2 linked regions of the Arabidopsis thaliana genome follow. The protein of the gene in region 1 purifies or fractionates together with the protein of each later gene. This does not show direct contact. Each region holds a gene or a part of one and is shown on either strand. Other genes may lie near its edges.

Evidence for each region.
Region 2: the proteins of TOC159 (region 1) and TOC75-III purify together in Arabidopsis thaliana (affinity purification with western blotting, with the first as the bait; 2 studies listed by BioGRID). This does not show direct contact.

The regions. Positions count from the first base shown.
Region 1 is NC_003075.7:1,102,902-1,110,598, reverse strand, and holds the start of TOC159 (translocon at the outer envelope membrane of chloroplasts 159), read right to left. Parts: upstream 6,034-7,697; 5' UTR 5,834-6,033; coding exon 5,770-5,833; intron 5,687-5,769; coding exon 1,239-5,686; 3' UTR 900-1,238; exon of another isoform or gene 833-899; 3' UTR 796-832; exon of another isoform or gene 624-795; 3' UTR 462-623; intron 319-461; 3' UTR 234-318; exon of another isoform or gene 1-233. Other genes in the region: XT2 (UDP-xylosyltransferase 2), read right to left, coding at 7,254-7,628. UniProt on the Arabidopsis thaliana protein: GTPase involved in protein precursor import into chloroplasts. Seems to recognize chloroplast-destined precursor proteins and regulate their presentation to the translocation channel through GTP hydrolysis. Required for chloroplast biogenesis.
Region 2 is NC_003074.8:17,215,313-17,221,227, forward strand, and holds TOC75-III (translocon at the outer envelope membrane of chloroplasts 75-III), read right to left. Parts: upstream 4,100-5,915; 5' UTR 3,985-4,099; coding exon 2,794-3,984; intron 2,516-2,793; coding exon 2,294-2,515; intron 2,206-2,293; coding exon 2,098-2,205; intron 1,979-2,097; coding exon 1,787-1,978; intron 1,709-1,786; coding exon 1,460-1,708; intron 1,374-1,459; coding exon 1,119-1,373; intron 1,032-1,118; coding exon 792-1,031; 3' UTR 501-791; downstream 1-500. Other genes in the region: AT3G46730 (NB-ARC domain-containing disease resistance protein), read right to left, coding at 1-300; AT3G46735 (uncharacterized protein), read left to right, coding at 62-167; AT3G46750 (low-temperature-induced protein), read left to right, coding at 4,632-4,734, 4,843-5,157, 5,247-5,740, 5,814-5,915.

The DNA of each region.
Region 1 (7,697 bases):
ATTGCCCAATTTCTCAGTACTTTCTTTCTGTTGTATCCTCTGTTTTCTTTCAGTTATGTGAGTGTGTGTGTATGCTCTTGAGAGTATCTTTGGCAAAAACTATTTATCTAATCTTCAAGCTATTCTAAAATAAATCAATTAGTTAACTAATGCAAAGATTGCGATGTCTTAACTATGGAGATACTGACTAGTGAGAATAGTATGTAAGGACTTTAGTCTGGTGGAAATCTTACTTTGGAACGTTTCTCCTGGCGAAAGAAGTTGACTTAAGAAGACTTTGAACGTTCTTATCCTTAAAGTTTCCTTGCTTTGTCATGTCTGAAAATGACAAGTAAAATATAGACGTAAGCTTCAAATCAGACAAAACAAAACACATCAGATTTCTGGACCTATTCACCTCTCTATAAATAACAGAAACGGTTAGAGCAGCAAGTTTGTGTTTTTCACCATCAATTTTGTACCTTGACCGCCGTAAACGCAGGGTGAAGAAAGTCCACCTAGTGTTTATCTCCAACTGTTTGCTCGTCTCATTACTCTGATGACTTTGTGGCTACCCAAAGAATTGCGAGTAAAGCCAGCCATATATTTGCAGACTCTGGTCATCCTTTAAGTTAGAGGCTTTGCTACATCAAATATTCACATAAACCATAAAGATTAAGTCCACCAAGAAATATCCTTTATTCGGAGTTTTGTCTGCTAGTATCATCAAGTTTACTTCACCACGATACTCCAATAGTTTCCAGATATTATATAAGAATGAAAATCTATTACAAAGCATTTTTATAAAAAACATACCATTGCCTTCAAGGGACCAAGGAAGAACAGTAAGATCCTGGTGAAGAACACAATGAGATGAGGGTTCTAGTACAAAATCTTATCAACAGTTACAGGCTACGCACCTGCTTTAAAGATTCTTCACCGAGTGATTTGTATCTTCTGCAGAAATTTAGTAACAAATTAGCAAACTCAAACCAAGCAACATCATTAGCATGAGACGTAGACCAAAAGAAGACTGAACTAGATTCCATTATCTGAAGAACAGCAAGAGAAGCTGAGAAGGGCTAATGAAAGTGAAGAATTACTGATACATGATAAATTAAATCCGATGGGAACCTCTCAACAGAACCAAAATACAACTTTGATAAACTTCAACAAAGTTTTTATTAAAGTGGGGGAAAAACATGAACTAAAAACCAGTAATAAAAGAAAAGATCATTCTGCAGCATTCATCAGCATATTTAGTACATGCTGTACTTGTCGTTCGTCGCTTCGGGTCGAATGCTCTTGTAGATGGACATGGCAATTGGAAGAATGGCTGTGAGAGCGATTTGCAACTGATCCGAGCTGCTGGTTCTGACTGTGATCTGTCCGCTCATCTTGTTGTTAAGTCCTGCACGAAGCGCAATCTTTGAGTTCCTTCCAACAGAGACTTGAGATTGGAGATTGGCTCCAAGGGCTAAATCGCCTCTCCACTTTACCAGAGACAGCCCAAAAGAAGATTGGTCCTGTCCAATTGGGAAATCAGCTTCCCTAAGCCTGACCTCGAGGTTCGCACCATAGGCCGAATCTCCCTGTGATCGCATTGTCCCAGTGCTGCCCACAAGCACCAACCTTTTCCCCAGTGCTATTTGGTCCTCGAGTTTGACCCCAGTGGCGATGTTCTCTCCCAAGAATGTCACTGACCCTCCAACAGTTGTCTTGTTCTTCCTCAAATTCTTGAATTTGGTTTCTCCTCTGACCACATATGCCAGCTGCTTGCCTACATTCTGAATATCGAACCCTGCCATGGTGGATCCATTCTCCCCGTGCTTAGCAGACACAGAGGAGTCCAGATGAATGTTGAACTCTTTCTTGTCCTTGGTGACTTGGACAGTAGCTGTGGCAGGGAACCGGCTAGCTAGAGCAAGACTGTGTTCTGCATTGACGCCGTCATATCCACAGTCATGGTCCCAACCATGGGTATCCAACACTGGCCTGGTTAGGAGTTGTGAAGTGGGTTCCAGATATCGGTATCGGTAAGCTGAGTTATCACTATCAAATGAAGGTGGCAAAACCATATCGGGTAATGGAACTGGCACTGCAGCTGGAGCCCCGTTTTCTGGATCATCTTCTTCTCCCGGATAACCAAACTCACTTTCACCCAGCTTCTTCCCGTTTTTCTTCATTTCTTTCATCCTCTTTAATTCCTCTCTCCATTGCTTCTTCTGCAGGAGCTTTACACGGTAATCATACTCCTCGAAATATGCCTTTCTCTGTTCATTTGAGAGCTTTGCAAGTTGGGTTTTTCGAAGAGGCTTAAATGGTGGCAGCTGGTCATACTCATCATCTTCCCCATCTTCCTGCTCAGAATCAGACACATCATCAATTTCGATATCAGAGTCAACACTATCACCACCTTGGTCTCCAGGGAGCTTAGGATGTGCACGGGACTGCAACAGCCAAGACAACAAGTAAGGGAGAGGCGGGGATCTAACTCGGAAACCAAATACTTTACGATGGTCCAATGGTTCTTGAGGCCTCAATAGAGAATTTGTTTCTGACAAAACCTTCAGGGAGTAACACAATAGCAACAGCTGAGATCTCCAAGTTTGGCCATTCGGGAGAACCTTCACTCCCTCCCGGTTCTTCCTACACAAGGGGTGATTCTCAACAAGTGAAACTGGATTCATCAGACTTGGATTCATCAAGCGTAGATCTCCAACAGCCTGTCCTATAGACTGTTGCACAATATGTGAGCACTGCGCTACAAACACATCATAGCTCAATGGGGTGCCAGATGGGCCATCAGGAGGGGCAGAAGCCGCATGGGTCAATGTCACTATAGCGTTTTTCCATATGGATGTACCAAGAGAAGCAGTAATCGTCCTTAGCAAGGGCAAATTGTTCAAGTCCCTGGTCTGGGTGTCAAGACGATCTACATATAGTACAATATCAGGGGGACACTTCTTCATTACCTTCTTTACAGAGGACAACATTTTTGCATTTGTACTTTGATCCATCGCAGCAGACTTCAAACCCGGAGTATCAATAAAGGTAATCTTGACACCATTCACCGTTCCAGAAATTTCTCTAACCGAAGTGGTTGAGAGCCCAAAAGCATCAATGGACGCAATCTGGTTTCCCAAAATGGAATTTATAGTAGCACTTTTTCCCACCCCGGCTTTTCCAAGGACCAGTATGTTTAGGGAGAAGATCAATTCTTCGTTGCCCTCAGCCTCAGACTCCACAGCCTTCTTCTTTGCAGCATCAAGACTGAATAACTGCCCTGCTTGTCTCCCAGCAAGTAGTGCAAGACGGTAAAGAACCTGCGCTGCAATTGAATCTTCTGCCGAATGACCCAACCTTTGCAAAAGCCGCAAAAACTTCACACGGAGGCTTTGCAACTTTTCTAATTTCTGTTTCTCTTCCTCGCTCAAGTTAATCTCAGTCTCATCTGCCATTGTGACATTAGAATTGGAAAAGATGTTGGAACGGTTTGCACGTGGAGCTGCTGCAGGCTTCAAGGGCCTTAACGATGAACTCAAACCAGCAGGTCGATCCATAGAGAAAAGCTTCGTGCCATCCTGAGATGTTATGGTAAAATTGCCACCTTCTGAACTTCCACCACCAGTGGCTGCCTTCAAAAGCGCAGCCAAAGCTGCAGTATCAAACATTTTCTCCTCACCTTCATCCTCTGTGTCTACATCCTCGTCAGAATCGGTGACAATCTGGCCATCAATCCTATCTGACATATTGTTAGAAATGTTTGCTTCATCAGAATGTGCCTCTATACCAGAAGAAGCCTTTTCCAACTCTGCTAAGAACTGTTTTGCAGCTTCAGAACTCCCAAATATCATCTCTTCAGTTTCTTCTTCACTTTCAGACCCATCAACCCTGGTAACACCTTCGCCAGAAGGTTCCTGGTCCACTTCCTTGCCTCCAAAGCTAAACTCACGAGAAGAAACAATGTCTTCGACTGGGAGCTTGTTTTCATCCTCTTCAGCACTGTCCCCTTCGACAACTTTCCGAACCTCAAACTGTGACTCAGCTGCAGGAATTGAATCCTCTTCTGCATCAACTGAACCCACTTTTAAACTTTCAGAAACAGGCAATTCTTCTACTTCCACACCTACTTTTGGTTCGTCTGGCTCTACTTTGGCAGCCTCTGATATTTCCTTAACAGCCAATTCAAAATTTCCATCATATGCAGCAGTCAGGTCATCAGGTTCCTCAATATTTGAGATGGTCTTGTCAACCTCATCATCTTTATCATCTTCCTTAATTACAGCCTCCTTAGCCGCCCCGACAACCACAACCCCTGGCTCTGCAACATTGATATCAGCATCAACAGAGTCCACCACAGAGGAGTCAACCATAGAGTCTCCTTCACTAACCAACTTTCCTCCTCCCTCCTCTGTGGCTTTATCGGATTCAAGTTCAACTTCACCACCTTCACCTTGGCCAATTGGATCAAACTTATTATGCACATCAGGGATGTTGCCATCAGTTTCCAGCACCTCACTCACCTCTACGTCTCCAACAACAACAACCCCTGGCTTTGCCACATCTACATTCACAGCTTCAATAGCAGATGAGTCCACCACAAAGTCTCCTTTGTTGTTTAACTTAACACCTTCTTCTGCATCATCGACTATGCCACCGAGCACACTCTCCTCCTCTTTGGTTCCATTGTCAGCTACTGCACTAGCTGCCTTGATTACTTCAGCATAAGTCATACCCTTCTCCAATCCGTTGGCTTTTTCCACATCCTTTGGTTCACTCCCACTCTCGGCAGCTACAACCTCTGGCTCTACAGCACTGGTATCCACAGATTCTAACTTAGAGGAGTCTGCAATAGAGTCTGATTCGCTAGTAAATTTTTCTTCTACCTCCTCAATGGCCTTGTCAGACACAGGTTCAAATTCACCACTATCATCATCCCCAATTTGATCAAACTTATTAGCCACTTCAAGAGTTTCAGCATCAGCATTAATCTTCAACTCCTCACTTCCCTCTGCGTCTCCTACAACAACCACCCCTGGTTTTGCCACATCAACATGCACTGATTCTACAGGGGACGAGTTCACAATGACGTCTCCTTTATCAGTTAACTCCACACCCTCTTCTTCAATAACATTATCACTTTTATCGTCAACATCAACTTTTCCACCCAACTCACTCTCCCCCTCATCATCTTTTTTTGTTCCAACATCTTCTTCTTCCACATCCTTCACTTTACTCTCACTCTCCCCATCTGTGGAAGCCTGTTTCACATCAACATCAACACTCCCATTTTCAATCTTACTCTCACCATCGTCTTTAATATCCTCCACGTCCTCCTTAACCTTCTTATTCTCCTCCACAACCCCTACACCATCAGAAACAGCCTCCGGCTTCGGAGATAACGATGAAACATCATCTACACCAATTGTCTCACCAGAAACCACCTCAGGCTTCGGAGTAGCCTCAGGAGTAGTAGAATCCTCCTTTAAAGAACCATCCACCTCGTCGGAAACCTTCCCATCACCCACCAAATTCGGCTTCTCCTTCTCGGAGTCAGATAAATCATCAGCTCCAACCTTATCCGAATTACCAGACACAGCCTCCGATGAGGAATCCAACTCCTTGGCACTACTCACAGCACCACCATCCTCCTTATCGGCGGCTGCAGCAGCAGCGGCGGCGACAACAGAAGCATAGGTTTTTCCTGATAACAAAATATCCTTCCGATTAAAACCCTATTCCCAAAAACGCAGATTAAAGAAGATATAAACGAGAAAGAAGAAAAACCTGATTGCCCCGAAGAAGCGTAGAAGGGGTTGGTTGGTTCTGGAGTAACCGACTTTGAGTCCATTTCCGCTTTGCTACTGAGACTCTTTCTCCGCCAAACTTGTGGAGGAAGGAGATAGCGATAGATAGATAGGGTTTAAAGGAATTTACCCTTTTTTGTGTGAAGGTTTTTATGATTGAGAATTTGGCTGCTCTCTCTCTTTTGAAGAAGAGAGAATTGGGAGAGATAAGGTCACTCGGCGAACAAAAAATGACTCTTCGTTTTTCTTCTTTGCCTTGGGATTTTATCTTCTCAGTTTGTGTTTTGAGGATGATGATGAAATTACCGAATTACCCTCGCTTCTATGTTGGTGAAGTTTCCAAGAGGGCTCTCTTTTGTGCTACGCTTTAAACTGTGTCGCTTCATTGGCTCAAGCCAAAATATATAGAGTTTCTTTTTTTATTTGAGGAAGAAGTACAATAATCATTTGTGGTTAAAATTTGAAAAACATTGTATCATTTTAAAAAACAGTAATTTTTTTGTCAAGAATTTTCAATTTTTGTTGAGTAAATTTAGAATATTTTAGTCACTTTTTGGAAAGTATTTACTGTTTAATATTTTGTTTTTATTATGCACAATTCTCCAAATGTTAAAATCTTCCCCAATGGAAAATGTTTTGATGGGCTCACTAAATCTAGGGTTTTTGAACTCATGAGAATTAGGGTTTTGTTATATCTTCTCTTTACTAAAAACCAAAAAAACCACACAACAACAAAATAAAATAAAACATTTAAAATAAAAAACGAGATAACATTTTGAGATTTGGGTTTTATAAAGAAGAAAGAAATCTTTTTTGTATCTTTGTTGATCCTCCCTACCCGAAATTGCTTGGCCACAAACGATTTTCTCACCATTATCTACGAATTATCTTGGATTTTTGTATAACACGGATTCCATATATTAGGCCGTGATTTTAGTTTTCAGATGGGCTTTTATAAGGCCTCCCCCTAATAATAGCCCGTATACATGATTTTATTATCAATTAAAGACATTCAGATTTCAGATACAACAACCCATACTGCAAAAGAATCTGACCACATGCCAAATTTTGTTTTTCGAATTAAACTCCTAAACTACACAAAACTTGTGAATATGATCTCAGAACTATACTAACTCAATGTGATTTTTTCACATTTTGCATACTAAAAGTAAATAATTAGTTGAATGTGAAATCAGGTTAAAAAAAAGTTCTTGAATTAACACAGATTATTGATCCATGAAGCTACAAAATCTCAAGTTCTAATGGATTACAAAGAACAAAAAGGAAGAAAAACAACATTTTGATTTCGTAATAGAACTCTAGACGTAGAGACAAAGTAAAACCAAAGAATTAACTGATGTCTCTGCACAATACTTTATCATCCATCTTAGTACAACAACAAGCAAAGACACAAGACATAAATATAGCGAGAAACATAACACAAATCCTAAACGCAAAACCGATTCAAACTTGATTGGTTTGTACCTTAACCGCCTTAAACGCCGGATGAAGCAACCCGAGCTCGTCTTTCATCTCCAACGGATTGCTAGTCTCGTTCCGCACTCTCTTGACTTTACGACTAGCCAAAGATTTGTGAGTGAAACCATAGATTTGCAGAATCTGGTTATCTCCAAAGTTAAAGGCTCTGTCCATTTGTTTTAGACACCGTTCCACCGGGTAATCACCAAATTTCCCACACGGTTTGCAACCGACAAAGTGAGTCACCAATGGCCATCTGTGATCTCCTAGACCCGGGTGGTAGTTTTCTATCATTTCTTCATATCTGTCCACAAGAATCCCCCAGTAACCGTGAAGATAGTATCCACTTTCTAGGTACACCTATAACAACAATGCAGTGGCTCAAATGAGTAGCTCAACAAAATCCAAACCAAGCAAAGATTTGAGTTT
Region 2 (5,915 bases), on another chromosome or scaffold:
GCCTATTTTGTTGGTCAATCTCAACAAGCCTCGTCTTAGTGATCTTTCTTCAAGTTTCAAGAAATAGGTGTCCAAAACATCCTCGATATCATAGGCGATATCTAAAACCAGTTTTGTCCACTCTTTCGAGACCTCATCTTCTCTTTCTCGAGCTTCAACATCCTTAAGATAACCATGGATGCACGTCAACTCCGTCTTCAGCTCCTCTAGATCATCTTTGACTCCCATCAACGCCAATACTTCATTGATGAGATAGCCGCCGATCTTATTCAAAACGAAACCAGTGACAGCATCTACCATCTCAACAGAATCAAATTGAAAGATTTCAAAATATGGAGAAGATTGAAGATATGCTTTGTTTCCTAATGTCAACAATTTCAAGTTTTCGAAAGCCTCTGACACTTGACTTTGTAGATGTTTGGTGTTGACATTTGATTAAATTCTATTGCACTATCCCTTATTCGTTATTTTTAAAAGAGAACTCAGATGCAGACAGACGTGTTACCAATATAAATTTTCATTTGTCAACTATTCATACGATTTTTTGAAACTTGAAAGTTTCAAAATTTTCCTACAAAAGTCTAGACATATTACGAAGAACAAACTCTTTCCCGATTCTCAGCACAACTCAGCAACGTCATCAAACACTAACATTAAACAATTATTGAAAAAGAAGTAGAAAAAAAAAAAGAAAACACAAAAGAAAAGGAAAAAAGAGAAAAATAGCAGATCCTCAACAGAGAAAATGAAAAGACTAAGGTGGATAACATGAGCCTGCTTCTCACATTACCTTAATACCTCTCTCCAAATCGGAAGAACAGAGCACCGGTTCCATTGTTGTGATCTACAGCATACTCAGCTCGGACCAAACCGAGTTTCACACCTGCACCATAGGATGAACCCTGACCCGTTCTCCTGTACACTGCTGTAGGGTTTCCCTTCACATCCTTTGAGCTTCCTAAATCATTTCCATGCTCAACAAAAGCGTAGACATGTGTGTTCTTCACGGGTATTCTGATCTCAGCACCGACCTGTAATCCATGAAACCAAATTAGACACACATATTTTTCGGGTTTAGGAGAAAAGACTGTTTTTGTTTTGAGTGTTTGCTGTATTACCTCGGCAATGTTTCTAGCAGCACCGAGCTCTCCCATGTTGTAGCCACGGACAGAGTACGGACCACCGAGGACAAAAGCATCGTAGCTTGGAAGGTCGCCAACGCAGCCTCCGTAATGCCCATGGAGGACTAGAACTGGTGGTGGTGACTTACCAGCCCCTTGTTCTACTTCCCGCAACTGAATGAATTTTGTCATGGTTAACTGGTGGCGGTTGAAGAACGGGAATTTGCTCCCAATACCCAATCCCTGATCAACCTGTGATTTGCAAATACATTGTGTAAAGCTTACAATATACAGATGACTCATCCTTATAATCTCATTTGATCATTGGGAAAGCAAACCTGAAAGACAGTCCTCTGTCCAACAACTGCCCCATTAACAAATTTGGTATTGTCACGGGTGATGTTGGCTTGTAGAAAAGCCATTCGATCGACACCGGTACCACTGAGAGTTGTTGGAGGTCCATCAGCACTGATTCCACCGCTAGGTAGTAGTCTCTGACCATTTGCAGCAATGTGACTGCTTTCATCTCGGGTTGTTATCTCCTCCATCACAAGTCCATATGTAAACTTACTCTGACGGGTGAAGTTCTGCATGAAAATATGTTTCAGTTAAGTGTTTGTAGGACAAAATAAGTCGATTATGGCACTGAGGATTGGCAAGCTTACCTCAGTTATATTAGCTTTCACACCAGCTCGGTCAACCCAAATTGGTGGCACTTCCTCAACACCAGGTCCTCCAGTGAATACTGGGCTAAGTTTGCGGCTGTTGAAGCAGCTTGTTTTGAATGTTCGGTTCCGAGGATTGTAAACACCATCCAGATACGGGTGCACATACTCAAGCTTAAACGAAAGATCATCCTGAGGAAAAAATGTAACATAAGGTTTGTGCTTAGCACATAGAAACAGAAATAGATGGATGTTATCAACCGAAAAGTTGAACCAGAGATGTATCAATCATGTAAGCTTATCGAATGTACCTGAGGATTCAAGAAGTTGCTAGTGGTCACTGAACCCATGAGAGACCTATTAAGACCCTGGAGGTTTCGATGCTCGAAAGTAACAGAACCACCTGGCTGGAATGAAGCCTGATGCATATAAACAATAACAATCAAACTCAATGGAACTTCTCAAATTTTACAATCTGTACTTATTTCAGTAAGGAAGGATTCATACCAATGTGGGAGCTCCTCCACGCCCAGGAACAATACTCCATTCTGTACTGACTTCAGCTGACTTCTGTTCTAGCTCCTTAAGCTTGATCTCAACAATAATGCCCCCTTCATTTTTCTCATCTGGGCGTGGATTGACTTCAATGTTAGAGAACAGCCCCAATGAATTGATGTTACTGAGAGCTTTTTTCCCAGCTTCAATGTTGAAAACATAGCCTTGGCGAAGCTGTTCAACGAAACATCGAAACTATCACTAAAACTAACATAACAAATGAGATATATCATTACATGTCTGGAATATAAAACATTTGTACAATGAGTTCATTGAAGCAATTAAACCTCTTACATCCATCAGACTTAAATAGCAAGTTCAAGTTAAAAGTCTGTCAATTTTTTCCTGACATATCAATCTATAACATAACTACACTTTCGTCATCATCCTATACTAAATCATGATCACATCAACAATGACATATCTGACATAGCAGAACTTGAGAAACATACCTGCTTAGGCAATTCCCTGCGCACCACAGGAACTTGAGTATTTCCTTCAACCACATTACCAAGCTTATCTTGAAACTGAATAACTAGCTGAGTTATATCACCTTCCACAACTTCACAAACAACCTCCTTAGTATTCAAATTCCCAAAATTCACAACTTGAGCACAAGCATACCCTTCATCATGATACCATTTCTGAACACGGTCCCTAATCCTCTGCAACAGCCTAGCACTCACTTTCCCTTGATCCCTCAACATCTGCATAACCTCACCATACACAGGTGCAGGCAACAAACAAGGCCGTGCCCTATCAATTCTCCTCTTGTAATCCTTCTCCAAACTCCTGTAATACTCAAGCTTCTCTTTATCAGTCATATCTGAATCCATCTCAATAGGTTTCGACTGTACCATTAACCCAACGTTAATACATCTAAACCTATCAGCAGATTGCCATGTACTCTCAGCAAACGAGATTGTAACACCTAGGGTTCCATCAGGTTTCGTTTTCCCTTCCAAATCAACTTTCTCAAACATTCCACAAGTAGCTAGGGTTTCAAGCTCCTTCTGCAATTGAGCTTTAGTGTAAACTCCACCAGGACGAATCGAGACCATCTCGAAGAAGGAATCTTCAGTACCAATAGTGGTTTGTCTCCGTCGATCAAAGAACATAATATCAGATACCTTATACTTCTTGAAACCACTAAGCTTGTTCAATTGCACAACGATATTCGCCGGTAAACCATGAGAATCCCAATCCGGTGATTGTTCTTCATCAGCAACCGCTGGTGAAGGAGAAAACAATTTCCCCCAAAATCCACCATCATTTCCATCTCCACCACCACCTCCACCACCAAATCCACCGAAATTCCCATCTCCTCCTCCTCCACCACCGGTCAGAACCGACGGAAGATTCGAGATTCGGAACAGAAAGAATGAAGCAGCGGAGGAGACTGAGGCTACGGCTAGAGGTTTAGCTAGGTTTTTAAGGAGAGAATCCTTTGAGGAAGTCTCTGTATCTCGGTTAGGTAAGCTTTTGCTGCATTTTATCGATGGGACACGAGGAGATTGAGTGGAGATGCGAGGGAGACGAGACGAGGAAGGAGAGAGAAATTTCCGACGGGAAGAGAGAGAGGTGGAAGCAGTGGAGCTTGTTGCCGTCGGGATAAGCTGCCCGTTGACGGAGAAGGCGGCCATGGGCGGAGAAGATAAGGTTTCAGAGAGAAGAAGAAGCAAGTGAAGATTTTTGGCTTCGGCGAAAAAATGTACTTTTGGGTTTTAAGCAGGTAGAGAGACTTTCCTTTTAGACTACATTACGTTTTGTTTATTTAACATAGAACTGCGTGACGTTTACTTTAGTTAGAAACAGCACGCAGTTTCAGTGAGACAAATGAGTAAACTTCTGACTAGGTTCTTGAAAAATGTTTAGTCTGTGATAATTCTGTAACTTATGCATTTTATCCAGACAAATGTGTTCTTACATTTTTCTCACATAGTCTTAATATTTTGGTCATTAAAGTTCAGAGACAAGTTTTGCTTAAGTTCTTTAAACAGTGTATTTGTTATTTATGGTTCCAGTTTTTCTCTAGAAAACTCTACAAATGTGAGTCCTATAATTCAGCTTCAAACGTCAATTTCTCAGGCCAAGACTTTGTCTTCCCTTCATGCTTCTCCAATAAGAGACCATGACTATTTTAAGCATTTTTTTTTCTTATGGTTTGTCCAAGAACCTCGGAGAAACAAGACGACATGCACAGTTTTTCTTGTCTTATATCTATCTTATGTTGTTCTCAGAGGATCAGAGTTCCTAAACAGAACATCTACAAGAACTTTGTGTTTCTGAAATGTCGCGTCAACTAGACCCCGTCGCTGAGCTCGAAAGCTTAAAAACACATGTTGATCATTCTGGAAATCCTAGCTTCTCAACACTTAGCCAGCGTCACCAATGTAAGTCTCTCCAAGAAATGATAATATCCATTTTGTTTACTCTCAGTGATTTGATGATTTTGGACGCAAACTCTTGGTTTGAAATCTGTTTGTCATACTTTTTTTCAGCTGGTGAAGCTTCAAAGCGGTCACCTTCTGGTTCACCAAGAAAAGAAAATGATGGAGAACATTCTCACCATAAGAAATCTTTGTTCTCTAAAATGAAGGATAAGGCGAAAAAACTGCAGCACAGTCTCAGCACCAAGAAGAGACATGATGAAGAAGGTGATGCAACCATGTCACCGTTTTGCAGATCCGAAGATCATGAAGTTAGAGAAGTTGGTTATGCGTCATTGTCACCACGTGACAAGTCAAAAGACCGTAAAGTCAGAGAAGAAGGAGGAGAAGAAGAAGAAGAAGATCCTGAATATCTTGGAGCCCCAAGTAAATGAAATTGAACAAAGCTTCATAAGTAACAACCACCCTTTTAGGAATTTGCTTAAAACTGATCGATCTTCTTGTGTTATTTTCAGTGTATGAATCAAAGAAGGCACCTGAAGAGTTAAAGGAGACAGCAAGGCAGCATCCCCGAGAGAATCCTGTGATCACTGAGACAAATGTCTTGTCTGTTCTCCCAGCCAAACAGGACGCTGAACAAGAACAAAAAGATTGTAATGGTTCCAAAACAGAACATCCTGTGATCTCTGAGAAGAATGTTTTATCTGATGTCAAGCAAGAGAAGCCTGCTGATTCTGACACAACAACAATAGTAACAGAATCGTCTGAGAAGACAAGGAAAGAGTGCACGAGCCAGCAGGAACCTATTAGTCCAAGCAAGACAGTAACAGAAACTGTGACAGAGAAGCTAGCACCTGGTTATGCTAAAGTCTCTGACGCAACTCAAGCTATAACTAAGAAGATTCAAGATATGGCTTTTCCAGAACCAACAGAGCGAGAAGAAGAGGTAAATGATGTTGCAGAAATCAACACTGCCGGAACTAACCAGCCCACTGGCTTCAATACCAAGGTACGACAAAGTTCTCTATCTGTTTGTGCATTTAGGTAAATACATCAGTCAATCATCTTGTGTTTGTAACCAGGTATGGGACAAAGGCGTATCAATGAAGGAATACATATCGCAGAAGTTTGAGCCTAGCGAAGACGATAGAGAACTTTCTCGAGTGATATCTAAAGCTATCAGT